Linked DNA regions of Stegostoma tigrinum. The protein of the gene in region 4 purifies or fractionates together with the protein of the main gene of each other region. This does not show direct contact. Links are inferred from orthologs where the notes say so. Each region holds a gene or a part of one and is shown on either strand. Other genes may lie near its edges. The genes, in order: SERPINE1 mRNA-binding protein 1-like, chtopa, protein LSM14 homolog A-like and prmt1.

Region 1 (7,843 bases), on a different chromosome or scaffold from region 4:
CACCCCAAGCCGCACCCCCAGCTACCTACTAACCTCATCCCACCTCCTTGACCTGTCCGTCTTCCCTGGACTGACCTATCCCCTCCCTACCTCCCCACCTATACTCTCTCCACCTATCTTCTTTACTCTCCATCTTCGGTCCGCCTCCCCCTCTCTCCCTATTTATTCCAGTTCCCTCTCCCCATCCCCCTCTCTGATGAAGGGTCTAGGCCCGAAACGTCAGCTTTTGTGCTCCTGAGATGCTGCTTGGCCTGCTGTGTTCATCCAGCCTCACATTTTATTATCTTGGAATTCTCCAGCATCTGCAGTTCCCATTATCCCAGTCTATCCAACCTTTCTTCAGAGCTAAATTCCCGCATACAAGGCGATATACTGGTAAACCTTTTCTGAACACTCTCCAAAGCATCCACATCCTTCCAATAGCATAGTGACCAGAACTGTACTCAATATTTAATGTAGCTTAACTGAAGTTCTATAAAACTGCAGGGTAACTTGTCCATTCTTGTACCCAATGCTCCTTCCAAAGAAGGCAAGCGTGTCATAGGAGATAACAAGGTGTAGAGCTGGATGAACACAGCAGGCCAAGCAGCATCAGAGGAGCAGGAAGACTGACGTTTCAGGCCTAGACCTTTCTTCAGAAAAGCATGTCATAAGCATTTTTTTAACTACCTTATCTACGTGTGCCGCCACCTTCAGTGATCTGTGGACTTGCATACTCAGATTTCTCGGTGTATCATTATTCCTTCGAGTTCCATCATTCACTGTATAATTTCCACCTGTACTTGACTTTGTAAAAGGCATCACCTCACATCTATCTGGATTAAACTCCATCTGCCATTTTTCTGCCCATGCCTCAACTGATGTATATCCTGCTGTATTCTCTGAAAATCCTCCTCATTATGTACAACTCCACCAATCTTTTTTAACAAAGTGTGAAGCTGGATGAACACAGCAGGCCAAGCAGCATCTCAGGAGCACAAAAGCTGATGTTTCGGGCCCAGACCCTTCATCAGGGATGCCTCCACCAATCTTTGCATTGTCTGTAAACCTCCAAATCATTTGTGTAGATCACAAACAGCAGAGGTACCAACACTGATCGCTGTGGAACACCACTAGTCACAGCTCTCCATTCAAAACAGCATCCTTCCATGGCTACCCTACCTGTGTTTCCTATGATTAAACCAGTTCTGTATCCATCTTGCCAGCTCACCCCTGATACCATGTGACTTCACCTTTTATACCAGTCTGCCATGAGGGACCTTGCCAAGGCTTTACTGAAGTCCATGTAGACAACATCAACTGCTTTTCCCTTGTCAATCATCTTAGTCGCCTCCTCAAAAAAACTTGATCAAGTTTGTGAGGCACGTTTGCCCCTGCATAAAACCATGCTGTTGATTTGCTAATAAGTCAATTTGCTTCTAAATGCATATAGGTCTTGTCCCTGGGGAACGTTTCTAACAATCTCCCTATCGCTGATGTGAAAGTCACAGGCCCGTAATTTCCTGGTTTATCCTGGTTACCCTTTTTAAGCAATGGGTCAACATTAGCTATAATCCAGTCCTCTGGGACCTCACTTGTGGTCAGAGAGGATACAGAGATGTCTGTCAATGAATGGTTTGCTCTAACAATATGGGGTTGGGGAGAGACAGGCATTTTCTTTAAAATATACGCAAATAGTTTACTGTCACTGGACCAAATTCCGTACAGTGTCCAAAAAAGGATAGGTGTTATATTTCTTAAACTAAAATTGATTGAATGCTCCTGATTGCAGGAACAAAGAGTGCGAGAGGGATTAAAATTTACAAACTAAGGAACCTGGACTTGACCCGCGTCCAATACTGCCACTTCCAGTGCTAAACCATAAGAAATGGGAACAGGAATTTGCCCCTTGAGCCTGCTCTGCCATTCAACAGGGTCATGTCTGATCTCACAGATTAACTATTCTCTCAAAGAGTTGGCTCATTATTTAAATAATTTAATCAGGCTGCCTGCCTCAAATTCTAAAACCTTTTTTTGTCTAATGGCATGGACTGAGTTTCCAGGGCTTAGGAAAACCAAAGAGAGGTGAGAAGGCTACAGCTGGCAAGTCTTTCCAGCACTGTTTGTGTGCCAGGAGGAGTAGGAGTGCTGAGTTTTCCTTAAGCAAACTGTCTCAATCCATGATAATAAAATGTGAGGCTGGATGAACACAGCAGGCCAAGCAGCATCTCAGGAGCACAAAAGCTGACGTTTCGGGCCTAGACCCTTCATCAGAGAGGGGGATGGGGAGAGGGAACTGGAATAAATAGGGAGAGAGGGGGAGGCGGACCGAAGATGGAGAGTAAAGAAGATAGATCTTCTTTACTCTCCATCTTCGGTCCGCCTCCCCCTCTCTCCCTATTTATTCCAGTTCCCTCTCCCCATCCCCCTCTCTGATGAAGGGTCTAGGCCCGAAACGTCAGCTTTTGTGCTCCTGAGATGCTGCTTGGCCTGCTGTGTTCACCCAGCCTCACATTTTATTATCTTGGAATTCTCCAGCATCTGCAGTTCCCATTATCTCTGTCTCAATCCATGCTCTGATCTGTGCCCAACTCAAACCACCCCTGTCAAAACCGCCCCCCCCCACCCAACCCCACACCTCCACAACCACCCCCCCCCCCCCCCCCCCGCTACGCGCACACACACACTCTTTCTGTTCCTGCTCCTTGGTTCTGGCCTAGTGGTACAGGCTTTCCTGCCAAATAGCTTCTCAACCTAAGTAATGACTAGCTATGATATAAGAAGGAAGTTTCAAATTTCTTACTATAACTTCAGCAGGACCTTTATGTTGTCCACATTCACTGGCTTCCAATCTGCCAACACTCCCACCTGTCCACTCCCTCTCTATACCTTCATAATTATTGGAGCGTTAGACTCAGAAACTTCAAACAAAGTTATCATATTTGCTCAAGATACTAGACTGGGAAGGGCAGTTGATGTAGAGGCAGCGATTTGAAAATTAATGTTATGCCATGAGGGACCTTGCCAAGGCTTTACTGATGTTCATGTAGACAACATCAACTGCACAAAATAAGTATGAGCGATAACACAGACCAAAATAAAATCCATTTGTACAGTGGTTTTCATGAATTCAGGGCAGCTTTACAGCTAATGAAGAGATCTTAATGTATAATCAATGTTGTATTGTACAAAACACAAGAGAGAACAAGTTCCAAAAGACAGCATATGTGGTAATGGTTTATTTATGATGTTGATTGAGGGAGAGGTATTAGATAAGAATCTTTGGAGTTCTTGTGGTGCAGTGGTCTTCAACTCATGTGGTAGCCTCCCCGCTTCCGATCCATAGTCCTCTAATTTCAAGTCTCGCTCCAGGACTAGTTGGCTATGGAAGAACCCAGCCTTTGATGGCTGACAAGTCAATGTGTAACGTAATTAACAAGGATAAGTGGCAGGAAAAATATTGAGCTCTAAAGCCACACACCAAATTCAGAAATGATGGTTTATAACAAATGGAGAAGGATGATCCACAATGATGATCTTTTGTAATGTGAACAAAACTGAAAGAAACAGTGATTGGAGGATAAATATTAAGCAGGCAATCGAGGGTAGCAATCCTGTTCTACAAAATAATGGGATCTTTTATGTCCATTTGAAAGAGGTAGTCAGGGCCTCAGTTTAGTCACTGATCTGTAAAATGATGCCTCTGACAATGCAACAATCTCAGTACCACACTGGATTGTCAGCAAGAATTTTAGTCCTTAGAACTGAACCCACAACATTCTGATTCTGAGCCAGTGAATGACAGATAAAATTTAATGCAAGTGCAAAGTGGTGCAGATATGATAGAATAATAAGGACACATATGCCCCATGACAGGTGTTTAATTAACTAAGGATATAGAACATAATCTAATTTTGTGAATTTATATCTTTACTAGACCGAAGAGAAGATCCATATCCTCGGAGATTACTGTCACTCTTTGCAATTACTGCTTCCTCCATAGGTTTTCAAGCATCTGAAGTGTTGGACTGAATTCTACCTAAAGATTATTGAGCAACGCTTTGAGCAATGGAATAATGACTGAAATCGTCCATATTACATGTAGGTAATAGAATTGTAGAATGGTTCATCCTTTGTCAGCTCTCCGAAAGTGATCAGCTATTCCCAAACCCCCTCCGTTTTCCTCTGGATCTGCAAATATGCTCTGTTTAGCTAATATTAGACCTCTTTGGAAGGCGTAATTAAATCTGTTTCCATCACCCTCTCAGGCTGTATATTCCTATCCCAACTACTTGTGCTGAAAAAGCTTTTCCTCACATCCTTTGCCAGTCACCACAAACGGTGTCCTCTGGGTCTCCACCTTTCCACAAATAGACATACATGTTGAATATTGAAATAAAAACATCTGGATATGCTTGCAGTTTTCTACACAAATCTAATGATAGGTTGTCAATCTAAACCGTTTTCTCATTGCTAACCATTAACAACATTTTGTGTTTTTATTTCTGATTTCCACCATCCACAATATTTTGATATGAAGAATTTTTGGATGCAGACTGCAAAAGCTGCCTGAGTCTACCCATTCGGAATAAGCTTCTCTGACACCATGTCTCACATGGGTTGGCACAACAGTGAGCAGGCGGTGCACATTGGGAAATGTGGTCTGCTCCTTGCGGGCGCGGGTGTCTGCGATCAAACGGAAGGCCAGGAAAAAGACTACATTCCCCAGCAGGCAGCCGAGGTTGCGCGGCTAGTGCCCGGATGGCGCGGCCCAAGATGCAACGCGAGCAAGAAGACCGTCTCTAACCGGCCATTTTGAGGCTAATTGAAGCGGTTTCTGCAGCCTTGCAGCATCCAAGGAGAATCCGCACTTGAGGGGCCCCATCATGCCCGGGAACTTACAGGAAGGCTTCGGCTGCGTCGTAACCAATCGGTTCGACCAACTATTTGGCGATGAATCTGACCCGTTCGAGATTTTAAAAGAGGCTGAAATCAAGAAAGACAAGAAGGAGAAAGACAACAAGACGGCCGCATCTAAACAGCAGCCCAAAAAGGAATCTCAGAAGGACAGGAAGGTGCCCGTAACATCCAGCGATGCGAAACCAGAGTCCCAAGCTCCCGTGACCTCGAGAAAAGAAGGTATTGGATCCTCTGCGGGAATGTTCTTATTACATTCATTATTCGCAGGAGTTGGTATTCGGAAGAAGAGCGTGTTGCAGTTGTTCTAGTTTTATAGAGTCGCTCATGGCAAATGCCAGGTTTAGGAAGCATGAGGGACTGACTGCTTCCTAAAAGACTCCCGGGCTTTTTATCTCCAGCCTAGGCATCTCCCGTCGGGCTGGGCCTTTGCCTGTGTGGGGGTGGTTGTGCTGGTGGGATTGTCCCTGCAAATCCGCGTGCTGTGGCTTCACTCTCGAAATGAGAATGGGGAGAGGTTTGCAATCGAACAAACTGACACCCATAGTCCCTTCTCGCGTTGTGTTATTTTAATGGATGAAGGATAGTTCATTCACTGTTTGAGGGCCATTTAATACAGAGCGTTCAGTTTATTTTGTCACTCCGGTGGCATGGAGCAGGTTTGAAAGGTTGGGGGGAGGGGGCGGTGACTTTATAACAGTACTTGTACCTTCGTCCGAACTTCATGTTTCTCGCAGACCTAAATCGACTTTTAACACTTACTTGTTGTCTCAGATTTTTTTTGGTTTTAATGCAGTGGTTTGTTGGAATACATCTCTTTTAAGTGAATAATTTAAGCATAGCGAGTGTACTTGAAATCTGTATGACAAGTTTGTGGATGAAAGCTACTTGTGGTTTGTAAACCAGTTTAAGAAACCCACGTGCTGGGTCAGAAGGATTCGTCCATTCTTTTTAGGCTAAAGGGTGTTGCCCCAAATCTTGCACGTGTTGATGTACTGTTCTTCGTTTCAAAATATAACTTTTTTTTAACAATATAAGCGTCCGTGTAATCGCTTTTATCTTGTACTGGCAGTATTTCCTGCTTGAGATTCGAAGGTGTTGTGCCTTGCTATCTGCTGCAATTTTCTTTAATTCAGTAAAGGATCCTGACCTGAAATGCTGACTTTCCTATTTCTCTGCTGCCTGACCTGCTGTGTTCCTCCAGCTCCACTCTGCGTTGACTGACTCCAGCATCAGCAGTTCTTGCTATCTCTAATTCAGTTTACCATTTTCAACTCAGTTGTAGCAGGATGTATATTCTATCAGACTTAATTTGTTCTGCAATATTATTTGATATAAGTGTTTTGAAGTCTGGCCTGTTAGCAGTAAGCAATCTCTTTGCAGTGTAATGTACAGTATAATTTTGTTAAATGTGTGTTGGATTGTTGAGATTTCACTTATATAACTGCAAACACCATGCATTCAGAGTGTTCTTGCAGAACAGTTGTAGTTTTCCACCCTCTGGACTAGAAGGTCTGGATTGAAGCATCACCTGTCTCAGACATGTGTCTTAATGTGTTTGAGCAGGTTGGTTAAAATAGCTACAGCACGTGTTAAACACTGATTGATACATCTTACTTTTGTTGGGGCCACTTTGGGGTTTGTAGAATAGGTGTAAAATATCATGGTGCTCCAGCTACATAGTTTTAAAGATAAATCAGTTCTTGATTTTGAAATAAACCAGAACTACCTTTTTAGACATAATTTTGAGAATCAATAATCTTTTGTAAAATAACATTAGAAAATTCTTTTTTTTTTGCAGAAATTTTTTTTCTATATACACAATGAGAAAGTTATTTATAAAATACAAGTAGACAGGTATGAGTGAATACTCCATTCCCTCAAGGTCCCTTTACTAAAATCCAAGGCTTTATTTGATTAGACGTACAGAGGAGCTCCTCATATGTACTGTTGTTTACTTCAAATTAGGTTACATATCTTGTTATTCATGAATTAACTTTTTAGGCTTTATGATTTGCTTAAAATGGGATTTGGAATATTTTTCCACTGGCAAATTTAACACTAGATGTGCAAAGATGTTCATCATTAAATATTAGTTTTGTCCCGTTGTAAATACAGAAATTTCTTTGCACATCTTTTAGTTTCACCTCTGACTGCATGTCTGTTTGGTGCATCCATCTCTTGTGCCTTCAGAAAGTAAAACCAGAAAAAATGATATCACGTGAGGTGTATCCCTTGCTGCAGTTGGCCCTTGGAATCCAGGCATTTCCATTTCAATTTGGTGAGCCTGAAAGTTTTGACGTTTGGTGCTTAACACTTAATTCATTAGTGTCTAAATCCTCTTTCTAAACATGTGTGAACCTTGATAGAGGTGCAGATTTGAAAGTTGACTTTAAATAATTAAATGTGCCCTCAAAGTCTCATGCTTGAGATCAAAGAAAAAGAGATGGTAGATGCAAGCCTCTTAAACAGTGGATCTCAAAGTTAATTGAATTTTCATTTCAATTTGTAATATGTACTAGTTTTCTATTCAAGGACTTGCTGTAAGAGTTTTTTTAGTACCACTCGTGCTTCACAGCAATTAAATATTTTTGAAGAGAGAGATAATAGGAATTGCAGATGCTGGAGAATCTGAGAATACAAGGTGTAGAACTGGATGAACACAGCAGGCCAGGCAGCATCAGGGGAGCAGGAAGGCTGATGTTTTGGGCCTAGAAGAAGGGTCGAGGCCCACAATGTCAGCCTTCCTGCTCCTCTGATGCTGCTTGGCCAGCTGTGTTCATCCAGCTCTATACCTTGTTATCTCTCTTTATTGAAGTGAATTTTTTTTAAGGCAAAATCATACATTAAGCCATAAGTGACCAATTGACCTGTTTTGCCTGCAGTGTGGAAGGAATAAAATTTTCTTTGAATAGAGGCACTGGATCTCTATGCCGATTTGAGCATT
Region 2 (7,114 bases), on a different chromosome or scaffold from region 4:
GGGATAGGGGTGAGGGAGGAGGTGTGGGGGCAAGTGTAGCATTTCCTGCGGTTGCAGGGGAAGGTGCCGGGTGTGGTGGGGTTTGAGGGCAACGTGGAGCGAACAAGGGAGTCACGGAGAGAGTGGTCTCTCCGGAAAGCAGACAAGGGTGGGGATGGATAAATGTCTTGGGTGGTGGGGTCGGATTGTAGATGGCGGAAGTGTCGGAGGATGATGCGTTGTATCCGGAGGTTGGTGGGGTGGTGTGTGAAAACGAGGGGGATCCTCTTTGGGCGGTTGTGGCGGGGGCGGGGTGTGAGGGATGTGTTGCGGGAGACGCGGTCAAGGGCGTTCTCGACCACTGCGGTCCTTGAAGAACTTGGACATCTGGGATGTGCGGGAGTGAAATGCCTTATCGTGGGAGCAGATGTGGCGAAGGAATTGGAAATAGGGATGGAATTTTTGCAGGAGGGTGGGTGGGAGGAGGTGTATTCTAGGTAGCTGTTTTTGGTCTCCAAGTCCCAGGTTCAAATTGATTGGCTAAATTAAAAATCTTGTTGTCTTGATAAACTGCTGCTTGGCCTGCTAACTGTGTAGCTTTTCAATACAAATGTTTCATGTTGGGAGCTGTCTATGTACTTGCAAACTTTTGAGCTGCTGCTCACAGACATTCCTTTTAAAGTACTAAGCATAGGAAAAGCACATGATCTTTTAAAGGGACCACTCCATGCTTTTCCCTCTAGCATTTTACAAATACCAAATTCTAACTTCATGCCTGCTAATCCTCAAGTACTCCACCCAACTTCGCAACACATGATAAGCAGCAACTGCAAACCTTACCTTGTTGTTTGGTGTTTGTGAGGATTTTTCCTGTTTTGTGTTCAAGCCGCTTACCAGCTTTAGTGGTTTCATACAAAACATAATGGCCTTTCTTTGGCAACCGCAGTGGATCAACTGTATCGCAGTATGTCGCATTGCAAATACAAACCACCGAGCTACCCCCAAAACTCCTGGCATCACATGGTTTACCAGCTGAAAAGAGAAGCAAAAACTGTTAAAACAATATCAGAGATAATGGGAACTGCAGATGCTGGAGAATTCCAAGATAATAAAATGTGAGGCTGGATAACACAGCAGGCCAAGCAGCATCTCAGGAGCACAAAAGCTTATCAGAGATAATGGGAACTGCAGATGCTGGAGAATTCCAAGATAATAAAATGTGAGGCTGGATTTTCAGAGATAATGGGAACTGCAGATTTGTGCTCCTGAGATGCTGCTTGTGTTCATCCAGCCTCACATTTTATTAACTGTTAAAACAATGCTGTGTGGGGAACTGGACGAACACAGCAGGCTAAACAGCATCAGAGGAGCAGGATGGCTGACGTTTCGGGCCAAGACCCTTCCTGCTCCTCTGATGCTGTTTAGCCTGCTGTGTTCGTCGAGCTCTATACCTTGTTATCTCAGATTCTCCAGCATCTGCAGTTCCTGCTATCTCCAGAACAATACTCTGACCCATTTTCATCCCTTCTTACACTTTGAAGGTGCTAACTTTCACTGAGGTAATGTTCCAGGCACTGGTGACACTTTGGTACATGATTCAAATAGTAATTTATCAGATGAGATTTAACAGATTTTACAATTATAATTGACAACGGGTATATTTCAAAACCTCACTTAGAGCCTTGGGTTGAAACTTGTAGAAAACAGGAAAATGTGACAGTGATCCAATAGGGAGTATCCTTGAAAAAAAATGAACTACAAACAGGAGTAGACCAACAAGCCCAATCCACTATTCACGCAGATGCAAGTGACTTGGACAGGCTAGGTGAGTGGACGGATGCATGGGAGATGCACTTTAATGTGGATAAATGTGTGGCTATACACTTTGGTGGCAAGAACAGGAAGGCAGATTACTATCTCAATGGAGTCAAGTTAGGTAAAGGGGAAACACGAGATCTAGGTGTTCTTGTACATCAGTCAATGAAAGCAAGCAAGCAGGTACAGCAGGCAGTGAAGAAAGCTAATAGCATGCTGGCCTTCATAACAAGAGGAATTGAGTACAGGGGCAAAGAGGTCCTTCGGCAGCTGTACAGGGCCCTGGTGAGACCACACCTGGAGCATTGTGTGCAGTTTCGGTCTCCAAATTTGAGGAAGGACAGTCTTGCTATTTGAGGGAGTGCAGCGTAGGTTCACGAGGCCAATTCCCGGAATGGTGGGACTATCATACGTTGAAAGATTGGAGTGACTGGCCTCGTATACTCTTGAGTTTAGAAGGATGAGAGGGGATCTGTTTGAGGTGTATAAGATTATTAAGGGATTGGACACTCTGGAGGCAGGAAGCATGTTTCCGCTGATGGGTGAGTCCAGAACCAGAGGACACAGTTTAAAAATAAGGGGTAGGCCATTTAGAACAGAGTTGAGGAAAAACTTCTTCACCCAGAGAGTGGTGGATATATGGAATGCTCTGCCCCAGAAGGCAGTGGAGGCCAACTCTCTGGATACTTTCAAGAAAGAGATGGATAGAGCTCTTAAAGATAGTGGAATCAAGGATTATGGGGATAAGGCAGGAACAGGATATTGATTGTGGATGATCATCCACGATCATAGGGCAGAATGGCCTACTCCTGCACCTATTACCTATTGTCTGATCTGATTACTCCACATTCCCACCAATCATGATAAATTTTCACATTTGCTCGACAGGAATCTATTGACATCTGCCTCAAAAATATTCAACACCTTTTGAGGGAGAACTTTAATAACTCTCAATACTCTGAGAAAAAAAAATTGTCTCTTCTCCCATCGTCCTAGATTCTTTGGAATAGGAAACATCCTCTCCACAAACACCCTTTCAAGACTCCTCAGCATCTCCCAATGATGTCTGATCTCCTGGATGAAAAGCTATCCCATATGGTTTATCTGACTGCTAGGAACAGGTTCAGGCGTGTGCAGACTGGGAAATGAGCACAAGATCATGTAACGTGCAGGATCTGCCAGCCCAGAGCAGAAGATATAATGACAATTTCTGAAAATCTGTTCATATAGGTTATGGCCATTTTCAGGTCCTGTACTGCTGAGAAATTCTGCATTCCTATTAGATCAGGTCAGATGCAACAAGTCCACAGGTTTCAATCCTCAGTATTTAATGCAATTTTTGATGCCAAGATGGATTTGGCATTGTGAACTAACATCCCAGTGAAACTAACCCTAACCCAAAGTGAGTTGGACCTACACCAGTCTACAGGAGCAGCTGAGCAGGCTAGTTTAAAAGAAACAACCTGTTTCTTGCAGACTGTTTCCAATCTGGTTGCTGAACAAGACTCAGTGCCTGCACTAATCTGTGAAACATAACTCTCAGCTCCACTTACATTACAATTCCTCACCTGAGACTGGAAGGATTGTCCAGAAAGGCAGAAAACACAAACAGAACCAAACTGTGGACATCCTGGAGGAGGAAACTGCTCCAGTTTCTCCTTGTTAGTTTCTTCAATACCTTGCTGTATCCTAATTGAACAAAAAGATACAGGGAAAAATGTTAAATATATAATCCAAATCCAGGTCTTTGATTATGTTTAATACAGAGATAGCTGGACTCTTGTTAGTAATGGGAACAAGGGTTATGATGAAAGGGCAGGAGAATAGGGTTGAGTTACATATCAGCCATGATTGAATGGTGGAGCAGACTCGACGGATGTCTTAACGGTGTAAAACTACTGTTATGGTTTTACAGTGTACAGCCAGGCATAAGGAACTACCAGGAGTAAGACTGGGCAATGTTTAGATTGACTATCCTTCATTCCTGAGTGGACTGGTAGCATTTGTTGTAAATATCACCAGGTTATTGCCCTAAAGCGTGATCTAAAAGCTTTCAGAGTGCAGTGCCTGAGCCAGTGGTGTTCTGTCAGAAGTGGCAGACTGAGGCGGCGCAGCGTAGTCAGAGGATCAGTACTGAGCAATGGGCGCCCTCAGCGCTGACCCCTCCCCTCCCCTCCCCTCCCCGACAGCGCCCGCTCCCTCGGCGCTGACCCCCCGCCGACAGCGCCCGCTCCCTCGGCGCTGTGTCTAACATTAGAACCAGTAGGAACTGCCGATGCTGGAGAATCCGAGGTAACAAGGTGTAGAGCTGGATGAACACAACAGGCCAAGCAGCATCAGAGGAGCAGGAAGGCTGACGTTTCGGGCCGAGACATCAGCTTGCCTGCTGTGTTCATCCAGCTTCCCACCGCCTCTAACATAATCGGAGCGAGACGAACCCTTCATCAGCGAGAGCCAGCCCGCCATCCCACGTGACCAAACACGGCATCACGTCCCCCACGTGACCGAGTCTGTTCGCCGCCGCTGCCTCCCACGTGATCCCCCCTCTTGCCCAGGACTGGCACTGATTTCTGTCTTGGCCGCATGGATTCTGCTGTTCAGCTCCGCCAGCGGCAGTATGGCTCGGCTCTGCCAGTACCAGGTAAGGGGCTAAGGCCGCCTGCTGTAACTCATCTCTCCTGTGGGTCTTTCGTCCCTGGCTGACGATGCTCAGGGTGCTTCGGCCTGTAGCGGTGGACTCCGCCTGGTGAAAGCCGCCCTCAATTCCAGGCCCGTATCGAGGGTTCGGGGGATGGGGGTGGACTTGCTGGCTGGGCCTGTGTTTATTGGCCTCTCTAACTGCTCCTTGCGGAAGTGCGCTAGATGTTGTCTGTTGTAATATCGGCACTCTGACAGGAAGCACCGAGGAGCTGATCGTGTTAAATAGTGCAAGGCTGCAGGAAGATAAAACACAGGGCTGAGTGCAGGGAATCCTTGTGAATGAATCTCAAAAAAATTTAACTTAGAACATTGGAGGATGGCAATTTAAGTCTAGCGAGACCCCTCCACCGTTCAATACAGTCATGGTTGAATTTCTCCTTTGCTTCATAACGCATTATCCTATTACTTATTCTGAGTAATACAGTTCTGAGGAAGGGTCCCCGGAACCGAAACATTAACAGCTTATTTTTTCTCTCCACGGATTGTGCCAGACCTGCTGAGCTTTTCCGGCAACTTCTGTTTTTGTTCCTGATTCGCAGCATCTGCAGTTCTTTCGGTTTCCAGTTAAAAATCTTTCTGCCTTCTCCTTAAAGTACTCAGTGACCTGGCATCCGATGCACTCCCCGTGACCGAATTCCATAGATCCGCCACCTCAAAAACAAATGAATAACCGTTGTAGGCGCAGCATAGATCTATTTGTGTGCTAAACACCATGTTAATACAGGTCTTAAAAACTGAAGAACTGTGGATGTTGTAAATCAGAAACAAAACCAGAAATTACAGGAAAACCTCAGCAGGTCTGGCAGCATCTGTAGAGTGAAATCAGAGTTAACGCTTCCGGCTCAGTGACTCTTTTTCAAAACATTTTTCAAAACTTATCTAAGCAATTGAGGCCATCCAGAGAAGTTCACTAGACTGATGTGAGGTCTGAAGCACTTTGTTATGAGAAGAAGTTGAGTAGACTAGCCCCAATGTGACCTTATTAGGATAGATGTGGAAAGGTTGTCTCCTCTTGACCAAATGTGTGATCCCTTATTCTGAGATCATACCATTTAAGAGAGAAATGAAGGGGAATTTCTTGAGAATTGTGAATCTGTGGAATTCCTCCCCACAAAGGCTATTGAGGCTGGATCATTAAGCATATTTGAGATTGAGGTTGACAGATTTTTAATTGGTAAGGGAATAGAGAGTTTGTGGGTGAAGAAAGCAGAAAAGTGGAGTTGTGGATTAACAGATCAGCCGTGATTTCATTGAATGGTAGAACAGAACTCTGGACTGAATGACCTACTTGTCTTCTAGTCTTACCTAACTCTCATATCACCTTATGAGTTAAGGGCGAACAGATTTCTTGAATTGCTGTAGGTAGGCTTTCAATGTGGTTAAGGATTTTGACCCAGTATCACTGAAGGAATGGGAATATATTTCCATATCAGCATGGTGGGTGAACTTGCTCGTGGTGCTCCCATGTGTCTGCTGCCCTTGTCATTCCACATGGAAGCAGTTGTGGGTTTGAAACCAGTTATGTTATACGAGGATCATATCTGTTATTTGTAATATTTGTAAATGATCTGGGTGGACATGTAGGTGGTCTGATTGCTAAGCTTGTAGACAACATGAAAATTAGTTGAGTTGTGAAAAGTAAGGAACGTTGTCAAACGATACAGCATTTCTGAAGAAGGTTCTCAGCCCAAAAGTCAGCATTCCTGCTCCTCTGCTGCTTGGCCTGCTGTGTTCATCCAGCTCTATACCTTGTTATCACAGCACAATATAGGTCAGTTGAAAAGTTGAGTGGAGTGATGGCAGATGGATTTGAACCTGGTCAAATGAATTGATACATTCTGAGAGGTCAAATGCAAGACGACAGTATACAGTAAATGGCAAGATCCTTGGGAGCATTGATATACAGAGGGATCTTGGGGTGCAAATCCATAACTCCCTGAAAGGGGCAACACAAGGGCCTCAGTAAGATAACAAGGTGTAGAGCTGGATGAACACAGCAGGCCGAGCAGGAAGGCTGATGTTTTGGGCCCGAAACGTCAGCCTTCCTGCTCCTCTGATTCTGCTTGGCCTGCTGTGTTCATCCAGCTCTACACCTTGTTATCACAGATTCTTCAGCATCTGCAGTTCCTATTATCTCTGCCTCAGTAAGAGTATGGCATGCTCCAGAAGATTATGGGCCAAATGCAGGCAAATGGGGCTACTTTAGTTTAGGATACCTGGTCAGCGTGGATGAGATGGACCGAAGAGTCTGTTTCTGTTCTGTATGACTATGCTTTCTAAGGATCTTTGGTGATTTACTTTAGTGCATCAATGCACTACTGAGTATTGGGGGGTGGAGGCAATGATTGTTTCTGGCTGTGGTGCCAATTAAGCAGGCTGCTTTGCCCTGGATGATGTCAGTTTCTTGAGTGTTACCTTTATCCAGGCAAATGACAAGTGTTCCACCACACTCCTGACTTGTGCCTTATAAATGGTGGACTGGTTTTAGGAAGATGGGAAGTGAGTTCCTCACGTAATGTTCAGTGATGATGTGCCATTGAATGTCAAGTATTAGTTGCTAGATTGGCTTGTTGGAAAAGCTCTGAACTTGGTGTAATCATCAGTGAACATCCCTACTTCC
Region 3 (7,341 bases), on a different chromosome or scaffold from region 4:
TCTAGGCCCGAAACGTCAGCTTTTGTGCTCCTGAGATGCTGTTTGGCCTGCTGTGTTCATCCAGCTTCACACTTTGTTATCCCAGCTCATCCCTGCCTCCCTAACCTGTTCTTCCTCTCACCCATACCTTCCTCCCACCTCACGCCGCACCTCCATTTCCTCCCTACTAACCTCATCCCACCCCCTTGACCTGTCCGTCTTCCCCGGGCTGACCTATCCCCTTCCTACCTCCCCACCTACACTCACCTTCACTGGCTCCATCCCTACCCCTTTAACTCGTCTGTTTCCTCTCCACCTATCTTCTCCTCTATCTGTCCTTGATCCACCTCCCCCTCTGTCCCTATTTATTTCAGAACCTTCTCCCCATCTCCCTTTTCTGATGAAGGGCCTAGGCCCAAAACCTCAGCTTTTGTGCTCCTAAGATGCTGCTTGGCCTGCAGTGTTCATCCAGCCCCACACTTTGTTAACACAAATTGTTTCATTTGTGTAAGCTGTTGTAATGATTATGTTGACACTCATTTACATTCTTCTCCCTTCACAATGAAAAATCACAATCAAAACAATTCCCCTCATTCATCTTCTAGTTAGTAATGACATTTAGTTCAGAGACACATAAGTTGTGAAGCTGTGAGATTGTTTTCATCATTGTAATAGTGGTGAATTCACTAGCTTGCATTGCCTTGAGTATAGAAGATTAACGGGTGATCAACTGGGCTGTTCAGAATTTTAAATGCATTTGATAGGATGGGCAACACTTCCTCTGATGGAGGAGTCCAAAAGAATGATGTATATCAATATAGCACTGACTCTTTGAAACAAAATCTAGACCCTTCATCAGAAATGAGGGAAGGGAAAGGAGTTCTGAAATAAATAGGGAGAGAGATGGAGGTCAATAGAAGATGGATAGAGGAGAAGGTAGGTGGAGAGGAGACGGATAAGTCAAAGAGGCGGGGATGGAACCAGTAAAGGTGAGTGTAGGTGGGGAGGTAGGGAGGGAATAGGTCAGTCCAGGGTAGACAGACAGGTGAGGTTAGTAGGTAGGAAATGAGGGTGCGACCTGAGGTGGGAGGAGGGGATAGTTGGAAAAACAGGTTAGGGAGGCAGGGACGAGCTGGGCTGGTTTTGGGATGCGGTAGTGGGAGGGGACATTTTGAAGCTTGTGAAATCGGGTCTAGTCTGGAAACGTCAGCTTTCCTGCTCCTAAGATGCTGGTTGGCCTGCTGTGTTCATCCAGCTCTACACTTTGTTATCTTTTAAAAACAAGGTTGTACTTCTCTTAATGTTGTCAAGGAACATGGAGTATGACAGGTAGACTTTCTCCTTCATCACTTGCTATAGGCTTTGTGTAGCAACAGCATCGGTTCTGGTTTGGCCATCTCAATCAGTAAGGGGGCTGCCAAGTTATTCCTGAAATCCATCTTTATTGATCTCAATACCAGAGGAAAAGTTGGACCAGCTGGGCTCAGACCTGCTGTAGTATGCAAGAGTAAGAGGTGACTTGAATGAATCATTTTTGATCCTGAGGAAGCTTGACAGGATGAATGTTCCAGAATGTTTTATCTTGTGGGAGAGTTTAGAACTAGGGGATCACCACTTAAAAACTATTAAACAACATTTTTCTTCAGAGTGAGCTCTAAGTTTTGGAATTCACTTCCTCAAAAGGCCATGGAAGCAAAATCTTTGTGTATGTGTAAGGTAGAAGTGGATAGCTTCCAGGAAGCAAGAGAGGTGAAAGGTAATTCTGGGCTACAATCACATCATCCACCATACATTTAAATAGCACAGCAGGCTCCAGGTATTAAATGGCCGACTGTATTTTTATATTCACATCTCCATCAGGAGTACTTTATGTCATAGAGTCACAGAGGTCTACAATACAGAAAAATATACTTCAGCTCATTGTGTCTGCATAAGTCAAAAACAACCACCTAACAATTCTAATCCCATTTTCCAGCACTTGGCCCATAGGTTTGGATACCTTGGCATCACAAATGCTCATCTAAATGCTTCTTCAGTGTTATGAGGATTTCTGCCTCTACCATCCTTGCAGGCAGTGAGCTGAAAATGTTTTTTCCTCACATCTCCCCTAAACCTGCTGTCCCCGGTCATTGATCTCTCCAACAAAGGGAGAAATTGCTTCCCGTCTACCCTATCTATACCCACATAATTTGACACATGTCAACTATGGGATTTCAAGACAAGAGGGCATATTTTAAAGGTGAGAGGAAAGAGATTTTAAAAAAGACGTAAGAGGCAATTTTTTTACACAGAGGGTGGTTCACGCGGGGAATGAGCTTCCTGAAGAAGTGGTGGACATGGGCACAGTTACAACGTTTAAAAAACACTTAGCTAAGTACTTGAACAGGAAAGGTTTGGAGAGATATGGGCCAGGAGCAGACAAGTGGGACTAGTTTAGTATGAGATTATGTTCAGCATCGATTCATTGGATCAAAGGGTCTGTTTCTGTGCTGTATCGCTCTATGTCTATGACTGTCAATCTCTTCTCCATCTCCTTTGCTCCAGTCTGTCCAATTTGTCTTCAAAGTTGAAACTCTCAAGCCCAGATAACATCCTGGTAAATCTCCTCTGCACCCACTCTAGTGCTATCATTCCCTCCCAAAATGTGGAATCCAGAACAGCAGTATTCTAGCTGTGGCCTAACCAACATGTTTCACAGTTCCAGCATAAGCTCCCTTCTCTATGCTTCAACTAATAAACATGAATATACCAGATACCTTCTTCACCATAAAGACATACAGCATAGAAACAGACCCTTTGGCCTACTGTACTCAATGTTCCCTTGGCCTACTATGTCTATGCTACCAACAAACACTAATTTTGTGGTCCTGAGTAATTCCATTTACCTGGACTTAGCCCATGGCCTATCATGCCCAACACTTAAGTACTCATCCAGATGATTCTTAAATGTTGTGAGAGTATTTGTCTCCATCACCCTCTCAGGCAGCACATTCCATATTTCTACCATTCTCTGGGCATAAAAATTCTTCCTCAGATCTCCTCTCAACTACTTGCTCCTCACATTAAACTTATGCCCTCTGGTCTTAGACACATCTGTCATGTGGAAGAGATTCTTTGATCTGTTCTGTCTATGTTTCTCATAATCTTTTATACCTCAGTCCCAGCCCACCCACCCCCCCCAACTTCCTCTGCTCCAAGGAAGACAAACCCAGCCTATTCAGTCTCTCCTCATAACTGAGACTTTTCATCCTAGGCAACATCCTGGTGAATCTCCTCTGCACCTTCTCCATTGGCACATTGTAAAATTCTTTCCATTCTTCTGATTTTTTCCCCTTTGTTTTAATCTTATACAATTCTGAACCTCCTTTGTTAGCTGTAGTTGACTGATCATTTTTGAGGTTTGGCACATTGAAGGAATATACAGTTGCTGCAAGACATGTAATCATTCCTTAAAGACTATCCATTGTCTATGGACAGTCATGTCTTTTAATGTATTTTCCCATTCCTCCACCATCAATTTGTGCCTAACTTTATTTTCCTGTTAAAATTGAATACCCTTGCTTCAAATGAAACTTCCCCACTTTTAAACATAAAGCAAAATTCAATCTTATTGTTGTCACTCAATCCTAAATAAATATTTTCGAACAACATTGAACTAGTTATGACTTTAAGTTACAATAGATCAGGCCTAAACTAACTTTTTTTGTATGTGTAGGCATATTGTTGTCTGGCCTGGTGTAGCATGATCTTCCTTGCTATTTATGCTCAGTGATGCCCAGATCCATTATATCATCGTAACATTGCTCCAGGGTCTTTAAACCCCTAAATCACAAACGATTTCAAAATGTAGCTTGCAAATCCAGAGGTTGTTATTATTTTGTTATTATTTAGATAGAAATGCAAATATTATGTGTGTACTTCAAAATTTTTGGTAAATGCCAGCTAGGTTTAGAAATAAAACTAAATCGTGGAGCAGTTCCCAGCTCTCACTTCAGATTTCTTCAATGATTTGAGAAGTTAACTTTTCCAGCAATGTTTTTGAGTTAGTTTTGGAGAGTTACGAGGTGCAAGCTTCCGAGAGAGAGATGCTTGTTCGCATCTTTTAAGATTTCGTCCTGCAGAGAGTGAGACTGGTGTTGTGCAAAGAGAGGGAAAGAAACAGAAGGAAAGTACTGGCTGAGTGGGGGAAGGGCCTGGCCACTGGAATATGAAGGCAGCCATGTTGGCTGCTGCCTGAGCGAACGTCACGGACCGGGGGGGTAGGGAGGTGGATAGAGAGAAAGAATAGGCCGGAGCGGGACGGTAGAGGCAATCCGCATTCATCCGCTGCCTCAGCTCCCGCAAATAGTGGTAGGCACTGCACAGCTACCATCATGAGTGGGGGTACTCCTTACATCGGCAGTAAAATCAGCCTGATCTCCAAGGCAGAGATCCGATATGAGGGGATTTTGTACACCATCGACACCGAGAACTCCACCGTCGCTTTAGCCAAAGGTAAATGGCGTAGAGGCGCCGGGCCTAAGAATACGACCCCATCCCTTGTGAATAACTCTTGTCTATAATAATCCCTCACATTTCGACATTCTTATCGCTAAAGAAACACAATTTGTTATTTAAACGTCGGGCAGTTTATCCCTTGTTTTAAAAAAAACTAAAATGGCGGGATTTGTCAACAAGAGCTTCTGTTCTCTTAAGTGTGTTTAATTGTATTTCAATCTGAGCTTTAATTTGGATGTTTTCTTACTTTCTTTGGGGAGGGGGTGGGGAATGTGAATTTTATCAATATATTCTAATTGGATGTGGTAAAGAAAGTGGGGAGTGGTCGGTGGTTATAAAGACAACCTGCTACCCACATCATAAACAAAAATAACTAAGACATTTCGTTTTAATATTTCTTTGTATGACTCACTGCTTTTAAATTGAATGGCTGCTAAATCAATCCGATTTGTTCGTCAAATCAGATAACACTGTTGCTCCTTGCAGTTCGTTATCCAGAGGAGTCTCCGCTTTTGTGGTTTTCATCCTCAATTTAGTGTTTATAATGTTTATATTGCAGTGTCTTCCAAGCAAATTGTTATATAGAAAATTCGCTGATAACTTTTAAAATGTTAGCTGCAGTAACTTTCATTTGTCTAGTGATAATGAAGCAATATTCTGATTGCTATTTAGATTATCTCTGGACTACTTCGAAGTTCCAAATCTTTAACGTACGTAAGAATTTCATGGTTGAGGTTATTTTTGTCTAGTTATTGGCAAGTAACGTGTTATCCAATTACCCCTTTTGTTGGAAGTAAACCCCAAAATAATAATTAGATTTTAATGAATTTGTGAAGATGTTGAATTGACTTGAGAAGGTAATTTTCTGAGCAAGTGTTTTAGCTTGAGGTATGATAATAGTGCACTCCAAAAAGCACTGATTTGTCTGGTTACTTGGGTTAAATGGGCATCTGTCTTTCTGTTGAAAAGATTTAGTTGGATAGTTTTCCAATAGACTGGAAAATCTAAAACACTTCAATTTGGAACAACCTAACGTGATTTTTGTGTTTGTGTTGTTTACAATGATTTTGTATAATGTGTATTCTTCAATAAGGCTTTACTTTGACTACCTATCGTTGGGTCTTTTAAGAGTTGGAAATTGGTGACTCCTGAGGAATTTATCGATGTGTTGTGGTGCCCACTACAAATAATTAGTCTAGAATAATTTTGTAAGTTTATAAATGTAGGAAAGAAGAGATTCTGTTTGTGGCAACCTCTGTTCAAACAATTTAACAAGTTTCTTTTTCTTTTGTTCATTCCTTGTAGCCCTGCAGATTTTGCCTCTCTAGATGTCCATCTAATTTCTTTTTAAAGCTATTAAGGAATCTGCTCTTTTCCATCTTTTCTGGCATTGCATTCCAAATCAAACCCACTTGCTGAATACAAAAAAAACTTGGCACTTTTTGGCCTTTTGTAATCTCCTTAAATTTGTTTCCCCCCAGTTCTTAACCACCTTGAACATGGGAACAATTTCTTTCTGCACTGAGTTTGTGTTGTGACGTGGACCAATTCAATCACATCTCCTCTGAATCGTTACTTTTCAAAAAGAAGAACTGCCCCAGTTTCACCCATCTAAGCTTGTGACTGGTCCCTGGAGTGAGAAGCTTTGGAGATCTGCCTCATTCGTTCCTAAATCAGGTGCTCAGAAAGAAAACATTTAATCTAGCTCCTCTGGTAAATTGTGTATGATCAGTTGAACAAAATGACCTTGCTTCGGTACACTGTACGATTCTGTTTTCTGGTGTCTGTAAGCAAAACCCAAAATTGTCCAGGATTAGAGTTGATACATGGGAATTCTTTCTGCTGACTGAAATGACTGGAGGCCAGAAGTCCCGAAAGGATGTGGGAAAAGGCAGAAGATAAAATAAATGACTAGCAGAAAAGACCACCAGCCGGAAGGAGGAAAAAGTTACATCTGTGAATCCCACGCTAACATTATTCCTCTGTGCTGGCTGCAGAAGGCATTGCTGCTTGGAAGTTGACCTCTTGCGACAACAGGTGATGTTCACACCAATGACATAAGACCTGAGTACAGTCTGCTGTGTTTCAAAATGCATGGGTGCCATTAATGTCTTTTCCATGTGTTTTCTAACTCTTTCTCAATGATATAAATGGATTTATAGTACAGAAATAATCTATTCTGGCCAGTTTTTGAATGCCACAGAAGTTTAGAAAGTTTGAGGATAGTACCATGAAAGGTACCACAGAACCTCTACAGTGAAAGCTGGACATTTGGCCCATCAAGTTCATGTGACCCTCTGAAGAGGGTCCCACTCAAACTCAAACCCAAACCCAACCCCCGACTCTGTTCCTGTAACCATACACTTCCCATGGCAAATCCACCTAGCCTGCTCATCCCTGAACACTACGGACAATTTAGCATGGCCGTTCCACCTAACCGCCTCAGCTTTGGACTCGGGGTGGGGTGGGTAGGAAACTGGAACGTGTCTGGAGGAAATCCATGTGGACGTGGAGAGAATGTGCAAACTCCACACAGACAGTAGCCCGAGGGATGGAATTGAACCTGGGTCACTGTTGCTGTGAGGCCACAGTGCTAACTGCTGCAGCACCCATTTTCTTCCACTTTACGTCATCCTGCCCCAATGTCATATCTTTAAATTATTTCCTCCCTTGCACTTGCCCATTTTCCCAGAAGTGTGTATTAAAGAAGCCTGTACCTGTCTTGGAGGTGAAGGGCAGAGATTCACGAAAGTTTTTTTTAAATTCATTTGTGGGATCTGTGCATTACTGACTGGCCAGCATTTGTTGCCCTTGAGGGTGGTGGTGAGTTACCTTCTTGAACTACCATAGTCCACTGTTGTGGGT
Region 4 (7,382 bases):
CACCACCAACCTCTGTCTTCTACTTTCAAACCAGTTCTGTATCCAAATGGATAGTTCTCCCTGTAGTGTTCTAGCCTTTGTTAACCAGTCTACCATGAGGGACCTTGTCAAACACCTTCACGAAGTTTGTATAGAACATGTTCACCACTCTGCCTGCAAATCCTCTTTGTTACTTCTTCAAAACAAAAACTGAACCAAGTTAGTGAGACACATTTGCCCATGCACACTTGATGGGAAAACTTCAAAAGCTCCCAACTCCAAAGAAAAATCCAAATGACGTACAGACCAAACAGAAATGTTAAATAACCGATTTCACCCAAAACAGGGGAGGAAAAATTTCCAGTCTGAGGTAGGAGCTGTTGGAATGAGAGATATAAATATATAAAATCAAGAAGCAATCAATGGAACTTTCGTCATTCACAGCTCCTAGCTTTAGCCCGCACTTATCTAGTGCCTTCACAAAAACACAGTAGAAGCCAAGGGAGGACACAAGACACATACTCGAGAAGTGTGTGTGGAAGGAGACGATTTCAGAACACAGGACACAGCTACCTGACATTGCACTGTCAGCTGTGTCTGGTCAAGGGTCAGCAATGCACAAGAGTGAAAGAACATGAGTGCAAACAATAGTGAACAATAATGGACAGGGTTACAGATAAAAGCTCAGGGGTAAGGTTTTCACACAGAGGTTGGTGTGCATATGGAAAGTACTGCCAGAGGAAGTGTTGGAGACTGGTGCAATTACAAAATCTAAAAGACATCTGGATAGGTAGATAATAGAAATACGGGCCAAATATTGGCAAACAGGACTAGATCAGATTGGGACGTCTGGGCAGCACAGATGAGAGGATGAAAGGGTCTGTTTCCCTGCTGTATGGCTCAATAAGGAGGATGAAGACATGAAAAAACCCCAAAAATCAGAATGAGAATGCTTGAAGATTTGGTGATGTAAAATTAATGAGGACAGGAAACAGCACCTAACTGGATGTAGGAAGAGGTGATTCAGTGAACAAAGTGGTAGATGACAGATGTAAAACGTCTACCCCACTACTCAGATGCTCCCCTTATAAATCAGACTTTCTTTTAAAAAATAATTTAACAAATTAACAGCACCTAAAGATCTAAACTGAGCTACGGTCAGAAACAATCCCTAAAATTAATAGTGACTGGTGCATTCCTTCAGGATTACCTCATTAAAACAGGCACTGAAAGAAATAGAAGATAGCAAGAACTGTTGATACTGGAGTCAGAGATAACAGTGTGGAGCTGAAGGAACAGGACAGTTGATGTTTCGGGTCACGAAGAAGGGTCCCAAAAGTTGACGTTTACTACCACTCTCACCCCACTAAAAACAAAAACTTTCATTGCCCGTACACCCCTCTAAGTTTCCTGCTCCTCTGATGCTGCCTGGCCTGCTGCATTCCTCTCGTTCCACACTATTATCACTGAAACTAATATTAAAGGTTTAGAGGGATTTGGACCAAACACAGGCAAATGGGACTAGCTGAGTTTGGACAGAACATTCTGTTTCCATGTTGTATGGCTCCATAAAACTGCACCTTTTGTAACACATTAACTATACATTCAAATTGGTGAGATTAATACAAATTCAGGATACAGCATTAAGCATCTGTAAATTTTAGAGAAAATTATGAACATGTATTAACTTCATATTAAAATCATGATTAATACAAATTCAGGAAATTGTATTAAGCCTGTATAAACTTTACCACAGAACTCATGAGCACGCATTAGCCACATATCAAAATCAGTGAGACTGACAGATTTTCAATTCAGCATTAACAGCCTTTGTAAACTTTACAAGAAAAATCACAAGAAACTCGAGGTTACTGTGTCAACCAAACCTCAGGCACAATTCTGACAGGGAGGATGAGGCTAAACATGGATTTGGATAGAAGGTCTGGTAAGTCAACTTATAAACACAGACACAGTTTTTAAGAAACCTTAAAAGTCCCAGCTCCACAAACCAAAAGTGGACCCAACATGACAGAACTTAGAGGAGATAAAAATCGACACATTACCTAAGGCCAGAGCGTCCAAAGACAACTGAGGCCAGTAGCCCCTCTCAAGCAGCGGGGGAGGGAAAGTGGGGTGTTGGGGGGCGGGGGTGGTAAAGAGAACTTTTGGCTCAAGTGAAAAGAAGTCCAGAAAAAAAATTACGCTTTGCTAAGCAAGACAATTATGCACAGTTGGCTCCAAGCTATAGATGGGAGATTCAGACTGAGAACCGTCATGAGGGCAAACAAAGGGACATTCCCCACCCCCTCAACCAGCTATCTCATTTGCCCTGAAACAGAAAGGTAAGCTGGACTGCTTTCAATTAGAAACGTGGATAGAGAGAGAGAGAGAGAGAGAGAGAGAGAGATGGATAGAGAGAGAGAGAGACACAGAGAGAGAGAGAGAGAGAGAAAGAAAAAGAAAGAGAAAGAGGAAGCAGGTGGAAGGAGTGAAAATTGTGAAACACTGAAGGGATAATGGAGCTGGTGAGTGTGTTTGAGGGTTGGGGGGGGGGGGGGTTCTTCTATACCTACAATGACTAGCAGAGCTGGGTGGGGAATGAAGTCTTTTTGGGGGGGGGGGGGGGGGAAGAACGATAATAAAGTTCACCCACCCCCACAAAGGAGGGAGGGGGTGGGGGGGGGGGGGGGGGACAGTAATGCACCTCCCTCTCCCGCCAAGGGGCCTATCCTCTGGCTAACAAACCCCACCCCAGGGCGGGGGCCAATAACTCGAGGCCTCGTTTCACAGCACCCTCCCCCTCCCCGGGAACATTTCCCCCCCCCCACCACACGGACAATTAATTAAATTTGAGGCGCCCCCCTCCTCACCAATCACACCATGTTTATTAATTAACTGATCAAAACCACCGCGTCGGGCTTTTATTGCGAAGCCAACCTGGACCTCCACACTCGTCTTCGACCCCGCGGTCCTCAAAGCCGCCCTCCAGCACCTACCTCCATGCACTCGGCCATCTTGTGAAAGAAGGGCCGTCATCTTCGTCATCGCTTTTATACACGACGCCTTGGTTTCCCCGCCCCTCCACCTGTCGTTCATTGGCTCGGTCTTTAACCCCGGCCCCACCTCTACATCTTCTATTGGTCAGGCTGACCGCTCATCGGAACCACCGCTTGCGGCTCCCAACACCCATTGGTTCTTTCAAAAGTCCGTCACATCGAGCCGTCTCTCCTTCCCATTGGGCGGCGCGTCTGATAGGCGGGACCAGGCTCCAACGGCCTCCTTCCATTGCATACATCACATGCCTATCAGTCTGTGGAGGCGGACCATCGCCCGGAGTCGGCCCTCCTCTGACTTCCGATTGGCCAATACGCTCCATCAGGAAATACTGAAGGTTACAGCCGCACACACGTGGAGTCAGTCATTTAGTTCGGAGCATCCTCTCGCTTGGAGGCTAATCTAAATACATATACCATAGGTTACTAGGACAAGTTTACTCTAAATCCCACAACCTGGAAGGATAAACCCCTAAACATTAGGTATACATCTGTCCTTTAGATGCACACTACATACAGTGCTCACTGCCGTTTACACATCTGAAATATTCGACCTTTTGGAACTTTCAGAACATAAAACTTAGAGGATTTGGAGGAGGTCACGCAACCCCTCAAGTTGGCTGCACAAATGGTCAGATTTGATAATGACAGTGATGGTACAGTGGTAGTCCACCTATCCCCAAAAGGGAGGCCAGAATTGATGTCCCACCTGCTCCAGAGTGCATAGAGTCATACAGGGTTCCAGCACAGAAAAAGAACCTTCCGCCCATTGAGTGATGGTCAAAATCAACCGTCTCGCTATTCTAATCCCATTTTAATGGGGATCTTGTGGCAAAGTACTATTGCTTTGACCTCTGAATGAAAAAGCCTGGGTTCAAGTCCCACCTGCTCAAGAGGTAGAGTTACAGATTTGTACAGCACAGAAACAGACCTTTTGGCCCAACTCGTCCATGCTGATCAAATCTCCTAAATTAAATCTACCCCAATTTACCAGCATTTGGCCTAGATCCTTCTGAACTCTTTCTGTTCATAAACCCATATAGCTGTCTTTTAAATGTTATAATTGCACCAGCTTCTATCATTTCCTCTGGCAGCTCATTCCATACATGCACCATGTGTAATAATCTCTCTGAACAGACTGATTAGAAAATAAAAACCCACAAGAAATCATGAACAAAAACAGAAATTGCTAGAAAATCTTAGCAGGTCTGGCAGCATCTGTGGAAAAAAAAATCAGAGTTAACGTTTTGGGTCTTGTGGCCCTTTGTTTTTGGATCCTTACAAGAGAAGTCCAAGAAAAGTGCAGACAGCAGCCATTTCTATACACAGCCTTCTCTGAATTCACAAAAGCTTCTAACTCCGTCAACTAGGTGGGATTGTGTAACATCCTCTTAAAGTCATTTATCATCCTCCATTTGCTGTAAACTGTGAAACAGAACATAGAATGCTAGAGAATCTCAGCAGGTCTGGCAGCATCTGGGGAGAGAGAAACACAGTTAACATTTCAAGTTCAGTAAAATCTCTTTGGCAGAACATGCAAATTATAGTTCTCACCAATGAATGTGCTACAAACCCAATTTTGTGTAAACTCAGGCCAAGCAAAGTTTTGAATTATAGCAACATTATTCTCCATCTTCCCTGCTCAAATAATTCAGAAGACCTTTAAAGATGTAGGAGCACAATTAGGTCACTCAGCCCATCAGGTCTGGTCCACCATTTGTTCACGGCTGATGTGTTTGTCAGCACCATTTTCCTGCCAGCTCATCGTAACCTCCAAACCTATGCATTACTGTCTTTTATACAGTCAACGACTGGCCTCAACACCCGTCTGTGACAATGAGTTTTACAGATTGACCATCCTCTGGCTGCAGATACTCCTCCTCATCTCAGTTCTAAAGGGTATTCCCTCCACTCCACATCCATGAAGGTTCCAGCCAGAGTGCGGCTTCTTTACACGAGCAGGAAACTGTCCACCCTGCGTAGTCCCCAGCCCAGAAACAACGCCACCCCCAACCTCTAGCATTGAGCTACCACCTGCAGATAATGTCTGCACGTCTGCATATTCAGAGGCTGAGCTGCTAACCATACATTAATGGAGGCGGTAAAGTAGGGATTAGACTAAACATTGGAAAGCAAAGGAATCTATTAACGTGCTCCTGCTGTACAACATAAAAACCAAAAGGATTGCAGATTCTGTAATTCAGGAATAAAAACAGAAGTTGCTGGAAAAGCTCAGCAGGTCTGGCAGCAGAGTTCTGAGGAAGGGTCACTGCACAAGAAATGTTGGACTCTGATTTGTTTTCGCGGATGCTGCCAGATTGCTGAGCTTTTCCAGCAACTTCTGTTTTGCTTTCTGGCATGCAACACTTGCCTGACCATCACAGATCAATGGCAAATCACTACACAGTTTAGATTATATCACATAACTTGGCTCTCTCTTTTCAATGAAGGAGACAATGAAATTCTCCACGATGCCAGTTATGTCTTCCATGGGACAACAGTGGCTACCCTTAAAAATTACACTGTTAGCTCTAAGACATTATAGGGTATCCTGAAGTTGAGATCAAGGCAATATGGAAACAGAAGCTCATCATTTCTTAACCACTGAAGTTCCATTTTAATGAGCAGGAACTCCAGCTAGCCTTCATAAAAACAATGTCAGTCACTGACACCTAAAGAAGGTGCGAGACTCCGAAAGCTTGTCTCTTCAAACAAACCTGTTAGACTATAACTTGTCGACTTTCACAAAAATAGGAAGGTGAATGAGACAGCAATCTAACCATGAAATCATCACTCACCTTCTGCACATCCAGTCATCAGCGACCATAATTTGACCAAGGGATTTGAATTAAATGCTGGAGGAATGCCTCCTCTTGGTTGCAAACATCCTTGATGATCCATTTAACTACTAATTTTAAGCTCTGGAATAAGCCAAATTATAACCAATACTTCTAATTAACTAAGTGACTCAAGACATTTCACAAACGCATTACCAGACGTTTACAGTGGTTAATACTGCTTCCTCACAGCGCAAGAGACCCGGGTTTGATTCCAGCTTCGGGCAACTGTCTGTATGGGGCTTGCACATTCTCCCTGTGTCTGCATGGGTTTCCTTTGGGTGTTCTGGTTTCCTCCCACAGTCCAAAGATCTGGAGGTTAGAGCGGACTTGCCATGCTAAATTGCCCATCGTGCCCAGGGATGTGCTAGCTAAGTGGGTTAGCCATGTAAGAGTACATGGATAGGGTGGGGGGTGGGGGGGGGGGTGGGTGGGGGGTGGGGGGGGGGGGGGGTTAAAGTCTGGGTGGGATGCTCTCCTGAAGGTCAGTGTGGACTCGATGGGCCAAGTGGTTTGCTTCTGTACTGCAGGGATTCTGTGATTCTATTTAAACCAAAAACAGATGAAGCTGGTAGGCCCCGTAAACCCCTGCAAGGTCTTGGAGAATGATCGAGAGAAAGGATGTTTAGTGAAGGAATTTAAGAGCTTAGGGTCCATGCAGCAGAACATATGGTTGCACGTTCCATTGTTGCAAAGGGAGACAAAAGTTGAAACAGTACATGTTATTAAACTGGAAAGGGGACAAAAAAGATTTAAGGATATTACTGAGACTGGAAAATTTGAATTATAGGGAAGAGGCTGGGACTGTTTTCCCTAGAACATGGGAGGCTGAGTGGTGACTTTATTGAGGTTTAAAAAAAAAGAGGGGCATAGGTAAGATGAATAGCCAAGGTCTTTTCCTCAGCATTGGGTATCTAAAACGCGAGGGCATAGGTTTAAGGTGAAAGGAGAAAGATTTAAAAAGGGACCGGAGGGGCAACTTTTTCACACAGAGGGTGGTGCATATATCGAATAAGCTGCCAGAGGAAGTGGTAGAGGCTGTACAATTACAACATTTTAAAGGCATTTGGGCAGATAAATGAATAGGAAAGGTCTAGAGGGACATGGGCCAAATGCAGGCAAATGGGACTGGGTCAGTTTAGGAAACCTGGTCGGCATGGAGGAGTTGGGCCGAAGGGTCTGTGTACCTCTATGACAAAATCAGAATCAGACATCCATGCTGAGGAAAAACAATAAGTGTCTCATCACACCTCATTAGAAAGACATTTATTTGTAAAACATCTGTACAGAGGATGTTAAAAGATCCTTACAAATTAGAGTTGAGCTTCAAACAATTTAGTTCATACAAACTACACCCAGCAAGAATATGAAACATGTCTAAACACATCATATCTTAAACATATTATCAATAATCTGACTGAATGGTCTTTTTCAGTATTGTAATCATTCTAAATGCATACTTATTAGTTGCTGGATAGTGATAAGGAAGCACAGGCGGACAATTCACATCCCC

The links.
Region 1: the proteins of prmt1 (region 4) and SERPINE1 mRNA-binding protein 1-like purify together in Homo sapiens (affinity purification with mass spectrometry; 3 studies listed by BioGRID and IntAct, with this or other methods). This does not show direct contact. The link is inferred for Stegostoma tigrinum from reciprocal best matches to the Homo sapiens genes PRMT1 and SERBP1.
Region 2: the proteins of prmt1 (region 4) and chtopa purify together in Homo sapiens (affinity purification with western blotting; 7 studies listed by BioGRID and IntAct, with this or other methods). This does not show direct contact. The link is inferred for Stegostoma tigrinum from reciprocal best matches to the Homo sapiens genes PRMT1 and CHTOP.
Region 3: the proteins of prmt1 (region 4) and protein LSM14 homolog A-like purify together in Homo sapiens (affinity purification with mass spectrometry; 3 studies listed by BioGRID and IntAct, with this or other methods). This does not show direct contact. The link is inferred for Stegostoma tigrinum from reciprocal best matches to the Homo sapiens genes PRMT1 and LSM14A.

What each region holds. Positions count from the first base shown.
Region 1 is NC_081361.1:51,678,660-51,686,502, reverse strand, and holds the start of SERPINE1 mRNA-binding protein 1-like, read left to right. Parts: upstream 1-4,756; 5' UTR 4,757-4,865; coding exon 4,866-5,118; intron 5,119-7,843. UniProt on the Homo sapiens protein: Ribosome-binding protein that promotes ribosome hibernation, a process during which ribosomes are stabilized in an inactive state and preserved from proteasomal degradation.
Region 2 is NC_081400.1:101,369-108,482, forward strand, and holds the start of chtopa (chromatin target of PRMT1a), read left to right. Parts: upstream 1-4,013; 5' UTR 4,014-4,377; coding exon 4,378-4,435; intron 4,436-7,114. Other genes in the region: gba1 (lysosomal acid glucosylceramidase), read right to left, coding at 820-1,011, 3,363-3,423. UniProt on the Homo sapiens protein: Plays an important role in the ligand-dependent activation of estrogen receptor target genes. May play a role in the silencing of fetal globin genes.
Region 3 is NC_081369.1:64,935,388-64,942,728, reverse strand, and holds the start of protein LSM14 homolog A-like, read left to right. Parts: upstream 1-4,217; 5' UTR 4,218-4,352; coding exon 4,353-4,473; intron 4,474-7,341. UniProt on the Homo sapiens protein: Essential for formation of P-bodies, cytoplasmic structures that provide storage sites for translationally inactive mRNAs and protect them from degradation. Acts as a repressor of mRNA translation. May play a role in mitotic spindle assembly.
Region 4 is NC_081391.1:22,304,056-22,311,437, forward strand, and holds the start of prmt1 (protein arginine N-methyltransferase 1), read right to left. Parts: upstream 3,021-7,382; 5' UTR 2,994-3,020; coding exon 2,976-2,993; exon of another isoform or gene 2,917-2,975; intron 1-2,916. UniProt on the Homo sapiens protein: Arginine methyltransferase that methylates (mono and asymmetric dimethylation) the guanidino nitrogens of arginyl residues present in proteins such as ESR1, histone H2, H3 and H4, FMR1, ILF3, HNRNPA1, HNRNPD, NFATC2IP, SUPT5H, TAF15, EWS, HABP4, SERBP1, RBM15, FOXO1, CHTOP, MAP3K5/ASK1, MICU1 and NPRL2.